2 linked regions of the Alligator mississippiensis genome follow. The protein of the gene in region 1 binds, or shares a complex with, the protein of each later gene. Links are inferred from orthologs where the notes say so. Each region holds a gene or a part of one and is shown on either strand. Other genes may lie near its edges.

Region 1 (8,920 bases):
GGTCAGGCATGACTTGCCCTTGGTGAATCTATGCTGACTGTTCCTAATCAGCTTTTTCTCCTCCAAGTGCTTAGAAATGGGTTCTTTGAGGATCTGCTCCATGATTTTTCCAGGGACAAAGGTGAAGTTGACTGGTCTGTAGTTCCCTGGATCCTCCTTTTTTCCCCTTTCTTAAATGTGGGAACTCTGCCCTTTTCCAATCATCCAGGACCTCTCCTGATCACCATGAGTTTTCCAAGATGATAGCCAGTGGCTCTGCAATCTTATCAGCCAACTCCCTCAGGTGCATCCCAACTGGCCCCATGGACTTGTACATGTCCAGCTTTTTTAAACAGTCCCATACCTGTTCTTTCACCACTGTTGGCATCTTACCTCCTCCTCAAACTATGCTGCCTGGTACAGAAGTCTGGGACCTTCAGCCTCTGATCATAGGAGAAACCCTGCCGACGCACAGAACTCACCACCACCCCTGTGCTCCTCCAACTAGCTCCTTGCTACCTAGAAGCACTGGAACGACTAAGCCAGCAGGATCCCCAGGATGAAGTTTACCCAAGCAATAGTTTGTAGAGAACTGGGAAGCAGCTCTAGCTGGCTGGAGAGGGTGGAAGGCGCCTAATGCCACCCAACAAGCCCAAGCAAGGACCAGCACTGAAGCTGTGCGCAGAGCTGCAGTCAATCCACTTCAAACTGGAGACTGACATCCACTGTCCACATGGCAAAGGGGAAACAGGCTCTCCCCCACGTGCACACAGGCTCCCGTAGCGGAGATACGGAGACTCTGGAGTATAACCCATATCTTCTGGGAGAAAGGCCCCTCTCAGGCTAAGGGACAGCAGAATAAACCTCAAGAAGAGAGGCAATGTACTGAGCATCAGCTTCCAGATTTCACTCTCTCTTAAGAAGCCCATAATAAAAGCCTAAGAGCTCTTACTTGCTCTTTCTCTAGTCTCCAACAGGCACCATCTATTCTATCACAGACGGGGAGGACAAAACACTGCCAGTGCTAGCAAACAAATGCACACATTCTTCTTCGTGCTGAGCCACCATGTTATTACCCACCACACAGATTTTTCTGACACAGCCTGTTTCTTTTAGACACTGTGGGCTTTTTATATCCCCACAGAGGCGCCGTGATAGAGGAGGGAGGTTTGGCTTGTGGGGCAATGCAAAGAATGAGGAGTGTCAGGAGAGCTGGGCTCTGCTCCCAGCTCTGTCCCAGGCTGGTTTTGGGCAAAGTACACTGGACGGCTCCATTTTTCATCCCTAAAAAAGGGAGAATGCTTACAGTATATTACAAGGAGATTGGATGCTAAACGCAATGTTCAAGTCCTTGAAATCCCTTAGAAGGAAGCAGTCAGAGCTGATCATAGAAGCTGCGCCACCTTATTCCAACCAGACCAGGATGGTAGAAAAGACAGACTGAAGTGCTCCATTAAGCCATGAAACCCATCCATCCCAAGGACAGGCTATCACCCCTAAGAGGGAATGTAACATTAAACCGGCATGTTTACCCCAAACTTCAGCCTGTTTGCTTTAATCTTCCCAACTTTTGATAACGCACCAGGTACTATAGGCAAGTAGAAACAGACTTGAATTGCTTGGCCAGTGACAGAATTCACAGCTGTGATGGAAGCCATCTGAAGGCAAGCCCCACGAAAAGCAATGCAATGCTTGCCTGCCTTCCCCCACCTGCAGAGCCACATTGGGTAGCTTCATTCCTGCTCCCAGCTTGACCAAGCAGTAGCACAACATTAACAGAAGCTGTTCAGGTTCACAGTCAGTAAGACTGGGGTTGCCAGCAGAAGTTGAACATTTGCCCCTGGGTATCTACTGCTTGGAAAAGCCAAAAGCGGAAGCAGACACTGGGGCAGTGTCAGGGAGAAGAAGCCAAACAGATGTCAGAAAGTACCAGCCACACTCCCTGCATCTGCAGCAATGGGGAGGCTCTGTGCAAGGGGTAGGAGGCTTCTGCCCCTCAAAGCAGCTGCAACACTCACGTGTTTGAGGGAGGTGAGGTAGGGACAGGACTTTTTCAATCAGTTAGTGACATCAGGGCAAATCCTGGGAATCCCAGCCAAAGAGGAGGCTTTCACTGCACTAAGCTTTCCATAGGCAGGCAAGAAAAGCAAATCCCTGCTCCCTGTGGTTTGGCATCTCGGGGTCAGGCGGGTGGATGAAATAAGCAGTTGGGATCAGGCTGGATTTACACTAAAGAGCAGTGCACTAGGGCTTGGCTTCCTACCAGTGCTCTGCTCTGGCATCGGGCTGGGTTTGGGGAGAGAGGATGGGATCTCGCCTTTTCTACCGGACCTTCAGCAAGTAATCAACTGGCAAGCTCTAAGGCTGGTATTAAAAGAAACAGGACAGCCGAGTTTAGCCTTTGGGCAGGGGCAGGCCTTTGCAAGTCGGAAATACACAGGCGGACGAGATTTTAGGGCTGCCGGATTCGGCAGGATTGCTTCAATCTCAATCTTTTGCTTGACTTTTTCACCCCTGCAACAAGAAGCTACCGTGTCCTGGGGAAGGGCTGCGCTAAGGGCTCCGACACCAGCTACTACATCAAGTTTATAAAAAAAAAAAAAAATTAAAAAAATGGGGAAGCAGAAAAGCCTGGAGGACGCCACCCCATGGAGTGCTAACTCCGGATTGCCTTGGAAGGGAAGTCCTTCCCCGGAGAACGGGGGTGAAGCCTGCCAGACACAGGTCTGCTCTTCAGGGCCCCAAAAGAGCCGTAGGCTTCAGGTAAGGAACGGAGCCAGGAAAAAACCTGCCGAGAGCGCAACGAACACTGCCGAGGCCGTAAAAAGAGCCAAGACGGGGAAAGGAAGGAATGCGAGCGCAGGATTTTCCACTGCGGGTCATTCGTTCGACAGCAGCCCCGAATCACCCCGCTGTCACGAGGGGCCCGGGACCCGGGACGCTTCCCACCACGCGCTCGCTCCCTTCTCCGAAGCCTTCCCGCAGGGGCGACGGCTGGAGCCCGTCACACTGCGACTGCGGGCCCGCCGCCCTCGGGCGCATTGGCAGGACGCGGCACAAGTCGGAGCTTGACCCCACTGAAACCCGGGGAGGGGAGGGGCGGGGATCCCTGCGGGGCACCTGGCCCAATTGAAGCCAGGCCCCGGCGGCTCAGGCGGAGAGATCCGCACGGAGGACGGCCAAGGGCTGCCAATGGGCACGCTGCTGCCGCGCACAGACCTGGAGACTGAGGCGCGGGCCCCGAGCGCCCCCGCTCACCTTGTGCGTGTTGTTGACCAGGGCGCCCTGGACATCGCGCAGGTCGCCGCACTCGGGCAGCCGGGCCGGGCGGGAGAGCGGCGACAGCAGCAGCAGGACGAGGCCGCTCAGCGCAGCCGCCCGCAGCCCCATCGCCACTCCGCCGCCTCTGCCCCGCGGCCGCCCCGCAGCTCCGCGCGCCGCCCCGCCCCCCGCGCCTCATTGGGCGGCGCGTGCGCGGGCGGCGGTCCGCATTGGGCGAGCGGGACGTCACTCGGCCCCTCCGAGGAGCGCGCCCCGCCTTTCCCTGACAGCTTCGCCGCCATTCGCGGAGCCGCAGCCACTCGCGGGCTCGGATTGGCTGGAGCAGGCGTCAGTCTCTGCCATGGCAACCATAAAGCCTTTCAGGCCGGCTATGCGCTTTCCGTGGGCTTCGCTCTTTGCCCCCGCCTTGTCAATGTCTTGTTGAGGTCCCACCCCCTTCCCCAGTTCATTGGCTGTTACTCTTGTAGGCTCCCTAGGCTGGCCTCACCCCCCACGCTGGTCGCTCTAGCGACTGCTTGCTGATTGGCTACGGGCTGCGCCCAGCCCTTCGGCCATTGGCTGAGCACGAGACGCTCTGTTCGCGACTAAACACTCGGGATCCTGGCCCCGCCCCCTGTCCTGCGGGGAGAGGAGAGGCCGGATCGGACGAGCGGGGCCACTCGCGTTAACCCCTTCTGCGCCGCGGGCGGTGCCTGCCTGTGCACTCCCAGGCGCTCACTCAAGGGGGCGCTTGAACGTGCGGCCACGCGGGCAGGACGCTGCTGCCAGAGGTGCCAAGAGCTGGATTAACCCTTCCCTGGCTCTGCCGCCAGTAGCCACAGTGGTGGCAGGGCCGGGAAAGCAGCCTCCATCCCCCGGCCCGGGGCACAGCTGCATCCAGCTCTGTCTCTGGAGGAGCAGGGAGCACAGCTGCACTTCTCCAGATAGAGCTGGAGGGGGGCAACCCTCTCTCCGCTCCCTCCTTCTGGACTCACCTACCTGGTTCTTCCCCCAAGCTGCTTTTCCTGCATTAACCCGAGGCCTCCATCCATCCACCCTGTTGCCGTCACTGATTTTTGGTTTCTTTCAGCTGGAGCTACAGAAGAGCAAACGTCAAATTGCAGGATCACATGGATTGTTTAAAAATCGCTCAGATCCAGCGTGAGCAGGAAGGGAGCCCGGAGCGCCACATGCTACAAAAGACAGACAGAAAATTGCTGTTCGTTTTCAAAAGTCTCACCAGGTTTAAGCCAATGATGTTTCTCAGACTAGAGTCACACTTTTGACTGCTTCAAGTTGCCAGTCTTAGAGCTAGCCAGCTCCCACATGCCAGGCTGTGCCCAAAAGTAAACCCATCACTGAGCCCCGATGCTGCACTCCTATGCCACTGGAAGACAGCTAGCAACCTTCACAGCTTGGTGCGATTACATTGGAAATGCATTGCAAGAGCTGAGAAACAATGAATGATCATCACACTGCTTGCTAAGCAGGGTCTTTACCTCGTATTCGCTTTGCCCCCAGGGGATTTTATTATTTCCAGTAAATAAATGAGGGTATTTGATGAGATGAAATTGCTGAAAGAATTGGAGAGAGAAAGGTCAGGCGGGATATTTGCTGAATGAGAATAAAGAAGTGCTGCTTTGCTTAGGGCTGGAACGACAACAGAGACAAGAAGCCAAGAATCGAAAGTGAAGGGCCTTGTAAAGTGAAAAGTCTGGAAGAACAAACTCAGCAAGAATGGAAAAAGAGCAGAAATGGTAAGAGCAAGGAACAGGAAGACAAGGTATTTGCAGTGCCTGCAAAGGGGAAGAAGATAGGACTAGCTGTAAGAGACACTCTAATCCATTGGTTTTCAACCTGTGGTCGCAGACGCCTAGAGGTCTTCAGGCTATGCCTAAGGGGCTCGCGAAAGATTATGATGATTAGGAGTTTACCTAACTCATGGTGAGACGAAGCAATTTTTGCAGCTTGATTGCGGCATGAAGAGTTGATTTCATGGGCATATTCCAGTGGCCCCACCCCTCACTGCTGATTGAATGGTATTATGCCTCTGCCAATTTAATAGCAAATTCCACAGAAAGTAAATTATATCATGTAGCATATTATTATAATTCTAAATATTTCTTTTAAATAAAATTACATCTATTATAAATGTATACACAATATGGATTACAATTTGTATCCTGTTGTTATTATATGTAGCATTCTACAAAAAAGTTTAGAAATACTAATTAACACCAATTTTAACAGAAACATTTTCACTGACTGGCACCGTTACTTAGTTTCTGTCACTAGCAGACAGTGGGTGCATCTACACATTCACCAATGCACTTTTGCTACTGCACATTAAATTCAGTACCTCTAATGTGAGGTACTAACTAAATGTGCATTGGGCTGCCCTAATGCGCAGTAGCACAAGTGCATGCTTCTTTAGTGATGCTTCATTCTCAGTAGCCTAATTTTACTGCACATTAACATGGTTTGCCGTGACTCTCTAATGCGCATTAAAATAGGTTACTGCACATTGAAGTGCACGTGTAAATGCACTCAGTAATGCTCAATGATGTGATCTATGGCTGCAGCGACTCATGTTGTCTTCATATTGCGGTAAGCACTGAGATATTCTAAAACAGCGTATCCTATGAATAATACGCTGGGGATTTTTTTAGATTAGTTCCACAGGAAATGGTGGCCAGTGCAGTATTTCTTGGCGATTGTAGACAACAGTTTTTTGTGGTTTCCACAAAAACCATGAAGCCAGGAATTAAGTAGACACTTAATTATGATCATAAGTATGTGAATACCCCCACTTACAGTTCAAAAGGTCCGGACCTCCATTTGAAAATTTTGTAGGGGTCTGCAAATGAAAAAAGGTTGAAAACCACTTCTCTAATCATTGGGTTGGGTGGAAAAGCAGCACTCAATGCCTCCTACCCACTGGAGAATGGCATGCACATTGAACTGGTTTTCTTCACTGCCTACAAGCCCTTGCCTGGTATAAACAATCTAACATGTTTTCATTCAAGGCAACAATTATGGCTTTACAAATCTGTGTTTAGAGTGTTATATAAGAAAGTTGGACTATTTCCATAGACAGAAGCAGCCAATATTTGCGGGGCACAGCATAGTCTGAGAATCCAAGGCATGGAAATTAAACCTTAACTTGTTTTTTTGCTTTTTAAATAGCAACCAACTAACAGAGGCTTTGGTTTGGCGTGTCACATGCCACACCACACCAAAACAATCTTTTGAAGGTACGGCATTGCTTTGCAACAAATTCATACGAAGCTTCCTCCTTGGAAGTAAAGACCGCTCTAAATGCAGTTAGAATAATAAACAAGATAAAAGCTTTCCCCTTCAGTCCCAAGAGAGGTAGGGACTTGCAAGCATTCAAATCAAGGGAAGTCATGAAGGATGAATTGGGCTAAGAGCTAACGCAACCGAAATTAAGCCTCTGTAACCGAGTTAAGAGGGAGAGAATGGCTTATCTCACCACAGCAGCTGATAAAATCATTATGGACTCTACCCAAGGTCACTGACAAGTCAAATAGATTTAAAACCACCAACAGTTCCTGGCTCTTTGTATTCATTCCATATTCCCTTGCAAATGAAAAAGGGTTCACCAACAGAGACCTTAATCTTGCTAATATCATTACTTCATACTTTTATTTTTTCCTCTTAACCCTACTTGGAACGTAGGGTTAAACGTAGGCGTTTAAAAACAAGGATATCCAACTTTCTACCTAGGCTGTCCCACCCAGGCAGCCTGCAGGGTTGGGGAAAAGGTAGCAAAAAGAGCAAATAAAATGCACTTGACTGAAAAAGTGGAGGAGCAGCAAGGATCTATCATTCTGAGATTCCCCAGCTTGTATTTGGCTTGTTGGCCGCCTTACAACAATCTCAAGTGTTTTGTTTCTCACCAGACCTTAGAGGGATCAGACGTAAGAATACAAAGCCTTGATTTTTAAGTTAGAAGGAAACCGTGGCAGCATCACATAGCTACTGGTACCAGCTACCATGTGATTCGGGTAGGAAATAAAGGACTAGTTCTTTGTTTGAAAGCTATGAAGGGAAGAATTATTTTTTTGTATTTTGGTTTCCTAAAAAAAGCTAGCATGAATAGCACCGTTTTCTGGAACAACAAAATTCGTAATGTCACTTACTGGGAATATTTGTGCAGTGTTTGGACACCTACTAGACAATACTATTGTTGCCCCAGGATTTCTTTTACCAGAGACCCCCAAGGATTGACATGGTCCCTTGTCCGATTTGGTATCAAGTGAACTTTATTAGTAACCCCTAGGCTTATTACAAGTTTATTAGCCTTATAATATGACCTGGCAAGTGGTTCCTTCAGGTGTTACTGGTGCGACCTTCAGTGGTACCGGCTTCTGATCCTCTGCGGGGTGTGTGGGATGTTAGTTTCTGGATTCCTCGTCTGAACAAAAATTTCAAGGTTGCTCCTGCCTCCCCAAGGTGGCAAACACAGAACACACACCATCTCTTTTGTTTGTCCACTACTTTTGTAATTCTCTCATCTCAAACTGTCCAATCCTTAAGTTTCTTCCCTCATCTTTTTAGATAAGGTACTCCGATCCTATTCTGTTTTTGGCTTCCTTTCCTTTTAGGGAAACTACTGTACCTGGTTAGCCCACTATATCAACCACAGCATTTATGTTTCCCAGTGCGTTATAAGGCACTCTGTACAATTTAATTGCTTAGTTCTGGGAAGGCCTAAAAGTTATGCTAAGAGCCTGAGCATAACTCAATTTGCCCCCTACAACTATAGTAATCCAAAGGCTAAAGACAATAACATTGAATAGCTAAATCCTACACTTATCTTACGTGCAACTTTCAGTGTTATTGGACCTTGGACATTACACTGATAGAAACCAGAATACAATCCATTAGGCACATTCTTAGAGGTGGTATAGTCCAGTGTGGAATGGGACTTTGAACACTTCAGTTCTATTATTGGCTCTCACCATCCTGCTGGGTTCCCCAAAAGAATAACAGTAAAATTAAGGTTTCGTGCAGCTGCCTGGCAGTACCATCAATAAAACTCCTGCTGGAGATTCAGCAGCCTGTGACTTCAGTTACAGTAAAATGGCTTTCTTCACAGACTTAACTAGATTTAGTAAATTCAGTAGAAATGGAGGCTTTAACCATACCGAGGGCGAATTCCAATCTTTCCACCACTGCAAGTTTCTCTAAGGTCTTTCTTGATTGTTACGCTGAATGTTTCTTTCACACAGAAGACAAAAGTTCTTTTTTTTCTTCGTTATGAAATTGTTTAATTTTTCAAAATAGGAAAGACAGTATAGATCAACTCCAGGTAGATCTAACCTGAACTGCATACAAGTGTTTAAAGAACCACTCACTCATTAGAAATAAGTCACACGCCCTCTAATGGCAGGGATCACCACGTAGTTCATTTTCTAAATTTTGAAAGAGCCTCAGTAAGAGAGAGAACTTCATCTTACAGATGTATATTTTTTGGTTTGATGGTTCAACAGGGTTCTTTTGCTTTCAACATTATAACACAAGGTAAATATCAATATCCATATTCTACTAAAAGAATGAGTCTAGAGCTTCTCTGGTTATGGGAGCTGCACTGTACTTTTGTTTCCAATCGAGTTCAAGTAATGAGATTACAAGGCCTGCACTAGATGAGCAAAAA
Region 2 (8,980 bases), on another chromosome or scaffold:
ATTTCCTATCCAGCTTTACAATTACCAACAACTGTATTGACAGGCTCCTGTTTGGACAAGCGTAGAGTTCATATTTATACCAAAATCTCAAACACTGCACAGAACACTTAAATCTTTTTTCAATGTGCCAAGCAAAGAGAACAAGGAAGTCTGGTATGTGTTACTTGGAAGACTATTCCTGGTTCAAAGTTTGCTAAGGTAGGAGACCTGGACTTACAAGTCAGTAAAAAAAAAAGAGGCAGAAGGAACTGATGCAGAGAGCACAAGGATTGGGAAGGGATGCTGGAGGAGTTCAAGGGAGATACATTAATGGGGCGGAATTATGGAGAGCTTTGAACATACACTTTGATTATATCATACTGTATTTTTTCAGCAAAATGGAAATATACAGTTTGTTTTTCCTTCCCATGATTAGCAACTTAGATGCAGTATGATATTTAAATTGTACAAGACGATATGTTTCACTTTAGTGTAAACCATATGTTCAAAGGAAAATTTAAATAAATGATCTGTGTCCTAATACTGTAGTCATTAACTTTAGCAAAAACTGTATAATCATTTCCATTATGAGCTTATTTATCCTCTCTCTCAAGTACAGACAGTTTCTATCTTATTTCCTGTATAGTAAACAACAATTTCAAGTACAGTATATCTAATCCTGCTGAATTAAAGCTTACTTCCTCTTGTTACAAGCCTTTTCTGAAATAGGGGTAAAAAGTGATATATAAAAATGAAGGATTGTTAATATTATTTTTGCTGTATTGTAAAAAAAGAGGGGGGGGGGGAATGAATTCTGCATATTGACATTAATCCAAAATTCTCTTCTCTTTAAATAGGAGCAAGGTCAGAGCCAAAGTTATTATGTTGGCTGTGTTTTTCTTATATTTTTAAGCATTTTCAAACATCAGTGCCTACTTTACTAATTATACTTTTCAAAAGGTTTCTTTAGCATTCCTTTAATAACTGGCTGGGCACAAAACAGGGGAATGGAGCTTTGTTACCTGGTATAAAAGTTCACAGGTGGGAAATTTTAAGCTGTAAAATAGATCCCAGTATTCCTGAATACAGTGCAAAGTGGAGCATTAAAAAGGTAAGTGTGAAAGTTATTTGCATGTGTACTCTTTTAAAGTTTGTCTCATTTTATGTTATTGTATAGATTACAGACTTATCAAAATGCTTTAATACTTGATTAACACCGCTGAAAGTTAGCAAGGTTTTGAAATAATTCATACTGCCTGTGTGTATACATGTATAATAACCGTTACAGAGTGTTACAGTTTTATGAATACACTCATCTGTACCATTTTCCAAAGGAAAATATAAAGCAAATAGCAGTTATTGTGTTGCATACAATCTGTCATCCTCTAACTATATCACATAATTACTCTTGGAAGAGAAAGAGGTGACTTTATCTCCCCATATTGTGAGCTGGGTTTGCACTGATGTAACCCTCTGCAGCCTTTCATCCCCCAATCATTTGGCAGCTACTGATGGAGGTGATCTCAGTATACAGAACACACTTCATCGGTTTGGTGCGGGGCACATTAAGGCTTCTCATGAGCCGTAGGATACTTCAAAGATATAAACCAGGTATATTTTCAGCATTCGTTAGCAAGTGCATGGCCTCTGGTATATGTTTCTAAATCATTGAATCATAGAAAGTTAGGGTTGGAAGGGACCTCAGGAGCTCATCTAGTCCAACCCCTGTTCAAAGCAGAAACATCCCCAAATAGATCCCCCCCAGCCAAAGCTTGGTCTAGCAGGTCTTAAAAACCTTGAAGGAGACAGTCCACAACCTCTCTGGGTAACCTGTTCCCATGTTTTACTATCCTCCCAGTGAGAAAATTCTGCCCTTGCAAACTTCCCTTGCTGCAACTTGAGACCATTGCTTCTTGTTCTGTCATCCTGGTATATGTTTCAAAATGACCCCAAAAGCCCCTTGATGTTGCTGCTGTGTGAGACTGGGTGAATATAAAGAAAGAAACTAATGGGAATGACAGGAAAACTATGCCCTTCAAAACTTATTATGAAGGATGGCTCCTCTGCAGATACAGAAGTATGAGTCTGGAGTTAACTGAGTCCCCTTCTATTGATAAAATCCAAGGGGGAAATTGCCCTTACAGTCACTATTACCTGAAAATGACTAGGTGCATTTTAAACCATCTCCCCTCCAAAATAACCGTCAGAAAAGGAAGAATAACTCCCTGCCCACTATGTTTGCCAACTCTGTTTGAATCTATTCCGGGAGGTTTCATCACATGATGCAATGACATGCATGACTTTATGTCGGGGAGGCAAATGCACATCACTATTACATTTTAAAAACCCACCGGGCAACTGTGTAAGTCAGATTCAACTTTTAATATGTATTTTAACGAATGCCCCATCGTTTATCTCCTGGGTGATGCTGGCAGGAGATTTCTCTCTAAGCCCTAGGGACTCCCGGGCACTCTTGGGAGGGTTGGCAACCCTAGTGCCCACGGGGGCAGCTGGGCGCAGACCCCACCCTGCCCCAGGAAGTTGCCCAGCACGGCTTACCTGAGCACAGGCTCCAGGAGGTGAAAGCCAGCAGCATCATGCACACCAGTTGGATTCTCATCCTTGCCATCTTCTGCCCTCTAGAAAGTCAAGTCCATAAATACTAAGAAGAGATGGGAGAGGGAGAGGGAGAGACAGACACAGAAAGACAGAGAGAGAAGCGAGTGCAGCTGCTGCTTTGCCTCGAGCTGACTTGGAGGTGTCTGAACCATCGGGGGGACCCGGACCATTGCCTGAGTATATAAGCAGGGCTGTGATGTCACAACAGGACAGCGGCTGTCTCTTAATGAAGCACCCTCCTCCTCCTCCCCCGCCCCCCGCCGTCCCCCAGTCCTCAGTGCCGAGAGCAAGTGACGCGCGTCTCTAATTGCTCCGCTCCGCTTGACGCACTCGGCTCCCAAGTGTTTGGCAAACCCGAGGGCCGGGGTCATTTCTCTCCCTGCCCCTCGCGGCAGGATCCGCGCGCACTGGCCGCAGCCCCTGGAGCAGCCCCGCGGGCCGGCCCGGCCCCTGCACCCTGTCCCGACCCGCGCCACCTCCGCGGCTGCCGCGCCCCGGTCACTCACTCATCGCCAGCGCACCAGGGGTGGCGGGGATAAAACACACCGATCGCCTGAAACGGATGGCATGCATGCAGCTGGCTGGGTGTAACCACCCACGGTTACTTACTTTTTAAACATATTTTGCATAGGTTTCGCCCCCAGCCCCCGTGTTAATTTAGGAGATACAGAAGAACCAAATTCCTGGGCATTTCTGGGTATGGCGACCTGCGTATGAAATAGTGTATCAGATTCGAAGTGTAGAATAGGGTAAATGGGTGTGTCTAGGCAGAGAGAGGAGAGAGAGGAAACATATCTATATCTATACACACACACCACAGTGCCTGGTATTGTACGTAATGTATACTATTAACTTCATTTAATATAATATTCAATATAATAGTGAATATATTAGTATATTAAACTTGAAGTGTACATATAGGGCCCCCATACCCAGGAATGAATGTGTGTGTGTGTACATCTATCGATCGATCGATTGATCGATATAAACACACATACATATACATATCTACCTATCTACATCTCTATCTATCTGTACACAGATAGATGTATACACAGATACACAGATGTATCTAGATAGATAGAGATGTAGATAGGTAGATATGTATATGTGTGTGTGTTTATATAGATCTAGATAGACAGGTAGATAGGTAGATATGTATATGTATGTATGTGTATATATATCTAGATAGGTAGGTAGGTAGATAGGTAGATATGTATATGTATGTGTGTTTATATATATCTAGATAGGTAGGTAGATAGATAGGTAGATATGTATGTGTGTTTATATATATATCTAGATAGGTAGATATGTATATGCATGTGTGTGTATATACACATATACACACACATACACATGTATATGTATATATATGTGTATGTGTGTGTATATGTAGACAGACAGACACACACACACATATACACATACATATATATCTTCATTCTAGAGTATGGGGTCCTATGTAAAATATAAAAAATGTACCCTGTTCCACACTTCAAGTTCAATAATATAGTGATATTATACTAAATATTATATTAATCAAGTTTAATATGTATAATACTACTTACATAACATTAATATATAATAATATATTTATCAAGTTTAATATATATAAAATACCAGGGGGGGAAATCTACACAAAATGTTTTAAAATAACCTTTATACATATATGCATACATATCACTTACCCTGTTCTACACTTCAAGTTGAATGCAATACGTTTTACATTTATGGTAAATTCTTACAATCCTTGAAACACACACACATACACACACACACACCATGTATATAGGGAGCTGTTGTTAAGCTATGGGAGTTGGATTTTCATTAGTGTTGAGCAATACTGATAGTGTCCCAGTGATTTACTGAGAACAGACTCTAGGATGAGCAGAAACCTAAGTAAATAAATATGTAAAAAATGTAAAATTGAGAATGTAAAACTAAATGTTTGTTCCCATACAATCATAGTTTGTGCAAAGGCTTTCTTTAAACTGGATCAGAGAGACTGTATTTTGTTTTAGGTAGTGCCTTTGCCTCCATTAGGGGGAGCAATAGAGATATAAGAAAAAAATAATTTTCTCCAGGCACTGGCATTAAAGCTTTAAGACCTCTGTAGAGCAATCAGAGCTATATTAACTTTTCTTAACACAGATTGATATTTTATGTAGAGCACTTCCTAGCTGTGTTTGCATTCTTTCCTTGTAACTTTTTTATTCTCCCTTTGTTTCCAGTGCTTATGTTGTAAATGTAAAAAATATTCACAGCAGAAGAATGATAAGATAAGGTAATATTTGCATTGAAGTATAGATGTGCAATACTAAAGAATCACATCGACCCTGGATCACATTATTTCTTTGCAGGGTGATTTTCTTTCCTTTATTTAATGCTGATATAATGTGAAGCATTTTTATGCTCATGAATATATTTAAGGACTGGTACCCATACTATACATGCCAACAACAAACTCATCAATTGACAGTTGCTCACATATTGACTGCTTTGCCCACCTCAACAGAGGGAAGTGTGTTCTCTAAAAGTAAAGAGCAAATATAGGCAATGGCAGCGATCAATTATATCTTTCTTCTATATTCTACATATTTATGCACAGTGTTGAAATACATAGCACAGAAGTAAGAGAAAACACACAAGCACTTAAAAACTCTTGCCATAAAAGGCAACTGCTGGTAAAACCTAAACTAATGCCTTTTCTATCAATTCAAGTTTCACTTTACCCTAAAAATTAAACTTGGAAGCACTATAGACATAAATGTATACATACAAACAGTCTTTACGTACATTTTTAATTCTTTGGATTTTAACAGTCGAAAAAGTTGCATGTTATTGAAATCTTTTCTTCTTATCTTACAACACAAGGATGAGTTCCTGAAATAATCTTCACACTGTACAGTCAGTGTTGTTATTTCGCACTGTGGTTAAACAGTATGTAGTGCGTAAAGACCAATCTTCAGCTGATTTTATTCTGTGGGTGTGCTGCTTTTTCTCACAGATCTGTGAATGAGAATCATATTTAACAGATTAATATTTTCTAGTTCTTGCCTCCTGCCATGGATTTCTCCATTAGTGCAATTTCCCATATTCTTAACCTAACTGGAATCTATAGGTTTAGTGGCTTTTCTTTCCCTCGATGAATCAAGTATTGTCAATTTCAATGCCGATAAAAGTTATGATCACTTTGCAGGGGGGAGTTGTTTGCTTTTTTTACCCTGGTACTCCCTGGATTATGAGTCTCTGAGGAATAATTTAAAGTTTTGTCTATATTACGAACTTTTTAATCTTTACCTCTGTTTTTCTCTCACTACCGACAAATGGCAAGGCTTGAGCACCATGTGTCCAAAATTTCTTGTGCCTCCACATCCCCTTCATTGCTCATCTGTGCTCTCTTGACATATTAATTTCAAGCGCACTTAGGTCAGGCACACTGATGCAGCACCATTAAGTACTTTTATTCTGTTCTAAGTAGGATTGAGCTGTCTTCTCTTTGTCTATTGCTCCTTTATTTCGTTTCCACCCGTTCCTTCCTTGACTGCAGCTTTCCGCAGCCACTCTGTTCCATGCTTAGAATATGAGCCATCTTAATGGCTCATTCTCAAAATAAGTTCCTTTCATATTTAGGTCTCTTTCCTATTCTGAAGTGTTTATCTTGCAGGAAAACCTGTTCAATGAGAGGCTTTCTCGAAGGTAATTAATCCCATTTCTGAAAAGTTCACCTTCACTTTATCTCTGAAGTTCCCTCTTTTTCATTTTAATCATGGGAATGGAATGTATGTGTAGGCTCTTGTAAGCATCACTTAGAATGGGATTGCTGTCACATCCTAGTGGCATTCAGCCTGTGGTTTGCTGAACATTTCCAGACCCATATGCTACCTTGTATCAAACAATGAAGCATCTGTAAGTAATTAAGGAATTTTGCTTTCTGTTAATGGAACAATAAGAGAACAACAACAGCAAATCATTTGTTTTCACCCTGTGCAGTCTGTTTTGGCTTGTTGCCTATAATAAAGGTGAATAGGTGATACCCTATATCTATAGGAGGAGAGAAACAACCAGCTAAATGCCCTGAAGTGCAAAAATGTTGGAGTATTGTAGCTCTGAGGGTCCAGTAAGTATGTGAGAAGCAAGGGGTTTTTTGGTAGTATGTTTAATCAGAAAACAGCTGAGACCAAACAAGTCACCCTGTGCCTGAAAGCTTGTCTAACATCTCTTCCCAACTATTTGTCTAATAAAAGATATTGCCATAAGACATCGTTGTTTTAACTTGTTTTACAGCCAGTCTTCTGTGACATTTTTACATACCTAAGCACTACTCATGCTTCAAGAAAAGTCGGGAATCATGAATCTTGTAGAGGTTGGTTTCTGAAGATAAGTTCCTTAAAACCAGAGATTTACCTATGCTGTTATGTTTTCATAACATGAAAATATGGGTTGGTGTATGTTTTTATTACACTTTGCCTTTTTTAATGTTCCACATATACTCGTAAATGGCAAAAAAAAAAGGTCTTGTGAAAGCTGTAAATCACAACCTGGAGGCTGGGCTGATAGAAGAAAGGGCCCAGAAGGTATCTGTATGACAGCAACATTGATTTGAACCTAAAGCTGCCAAGACAACCCTCACCACATCTTTCTATTGTACATGTGACTGCCAGTGGCCCCTGTTAGCCATTCCAGCAGACGGGGAGAAGGCACAGATTTGGCTCCTGTCCTTGCATACGTTTTCTTCAATATCCCCCAGGGATTCTCTTCATGCCAGAAAAAATTCAGGAAGTTGGTTAAGCCAGTTTTAAAGATCCTTTGCATTGTCGAAGCAATGTAAAGCAACCAGGCTATGACTAGTATGTGAGTCAGACATATTTCTTAATATTAGTTAGGTCTATGTGTCCTTAAAAGCTGTGGTTCAGTAGGGATTTTCTTAAGCCATATAGGTTTTTTGGTATCTCAGATTCAATCAGAATGTCTCTATCTGACAAAGGTTTCTGAATGTGTGTAGTCTGTCAGTCAGTGTAAGGAAGAGATGACAGATTGGTGGAGCTGGTCTTCTAGGAAGGCTAAGTTCCTCACACTAGAGGAGCTTTTTTTTGGTTGTCAAATTGTCAGACAGCTTTATTCAGGATTTCTAAATAACCTTAACCACAGAATAGTTCTTCCCATTGTACGGTTGTTTTCTTTCACAAAGTATAGCAGGTGTTAGACTTGCAAAGACTTTAAGATTATTTGGCTCACCATTAGCAAGGCAGGTCCTCTCTCTGGAATATTATGATGGAATCAAAATGATATCATTACAGAAATCATCCAGGTTGTTAAGGAAAAACAGTGAATATACTATTGAATCCCTTTTTTTTTGCTTGAAAGTTTTTAATTAAAATTTAAAAAAAATAATTTTAGTTAAAGTTTTCAATTACAATTTCAAATTTGGAACCCCCTCTTACCTCCCAAAAACCCAGCCCTCACTGCCAATATTCACTACAATCCCTTTGGATTAAGAATATTTCAATTTTGAAATCTCCTTGCAAGCCAGCAGGGAGTTGTAGTTTCTGGGTACCTCGTGCACATATTTTTATCCATAGAATGAGTTCCCTGGTCATACTAATTTTTTTTAATTAAAAAATTAGGTTTTGGCCCAATAGCTCTTCAGTTTTTAGGTGACTGATTTCAATTAAAAGTCAGATTTTTCCACAAAAAATGAATACTATACATGAAGAATGCTTCAATGAAGAAATCAATTGATCAAAAGTGAGTTTGATAGAAAAAAACATAATGGCTTTAGCATATATTGCCATACAATATTGATTATCTAGAAGTCAATTGTCTGGAACAGCCATTAACTAAAACAGGGGCAGGCAATTATTTCGGGCAGAGGGCCACTTACTGAGTTTTGGCAAGCCATCGAGGGCCACATGATAGGCAGCCCAGGGCAGATAAATGTTAATTTACTAATTTTTTTAGGGGCCCTGCAGGCCAGACAGAATGGCCTGGCAGGCCGCATCTAGCCTGTGGGCCACCTTTTGCCCACCCCTGAACTAAAAGGTCCCCTGATCTTCCCTTTCATTCTCTGACTTGTGCAGAGAGTAGCTGGCTCCTTGATAGCATGCCCAGTGGCAAGCTATCAGGGAGCCCTGTAGAGACTCTGCTGCTACTGCCACATGAGCAGCCATGGAACTTTTTGGGGCTTGTTAGGTAGCAACAGTTTCCATAAAAAATAATTATCCTGAAAAAATTAATTATCCAGAATGATGGTGACACTAATTATTATGAATAATCAATATTCCACTGTGTTTAGAAAACTCAGGTCATATAAAAGCAAGGAAATGAATAGTTAAGGACTTCCTTGCACTTATTTATTCTTGCAATAAATGTAATGTTCTTC

The links.
Region 2: the proteins of SORT1 (region 1) and NTS are in contact, whole or in part, in a crystal structure (PDB 4PO7), measured with the Homo sapiens proteins. The link is inferred for Alligator mississippiensis from reciprocal best matches to the Homo sapiens genes SORT1 and NTS. Residues at the interface, in NP_002950.3 of Homo sapiens: Val112, Ser113, Leu114, Ser115, Trp116, Lys260, Tyr304, Ser305, Phe306, Gly307, Leu308, Phe314, Ser316, Arg325, Ile327, Phe350, Tyr351, Ser352, Ile353, Tyr395, Gly399, Thr570, Gly571, Leu572, Ala573, Trp586, Trp597; in NP_006174.1 of Homo sapiens: Leu152, Tyr153, Glu154, Asn155, Pro160, Tyr161, Ile162, Leu163.

Annotation. Positions count from the first base shown.
Region 1 is NC_081837.1:34,115,249-34,124,168, forward strand, and holds the start of SORT1 (sortilin), read right to left. Parts: upstream 3,405-8,920; 5' UTR 3,370-3,404; coding exon 3,238-3,369; intron 1-3,237.
Region 2 is NC_081827.1:82,661,792-82,670,771, reverse strand, and holds the start of NTS (neurotensin/neuromedin N), read right to left. Parts: upstream 3,299-8,980; 5' UTR 3,228-3,298; coding exon 3,208-3,227; intron 2,619-3,207; coding exon 2,539-2,618; intron 1-2,538. UniProt on the Homo sapiens protein: Neurotensin may play an endocrine or paracrine role in the regulation of fat metabolism. It causes contraction of smooth muscle.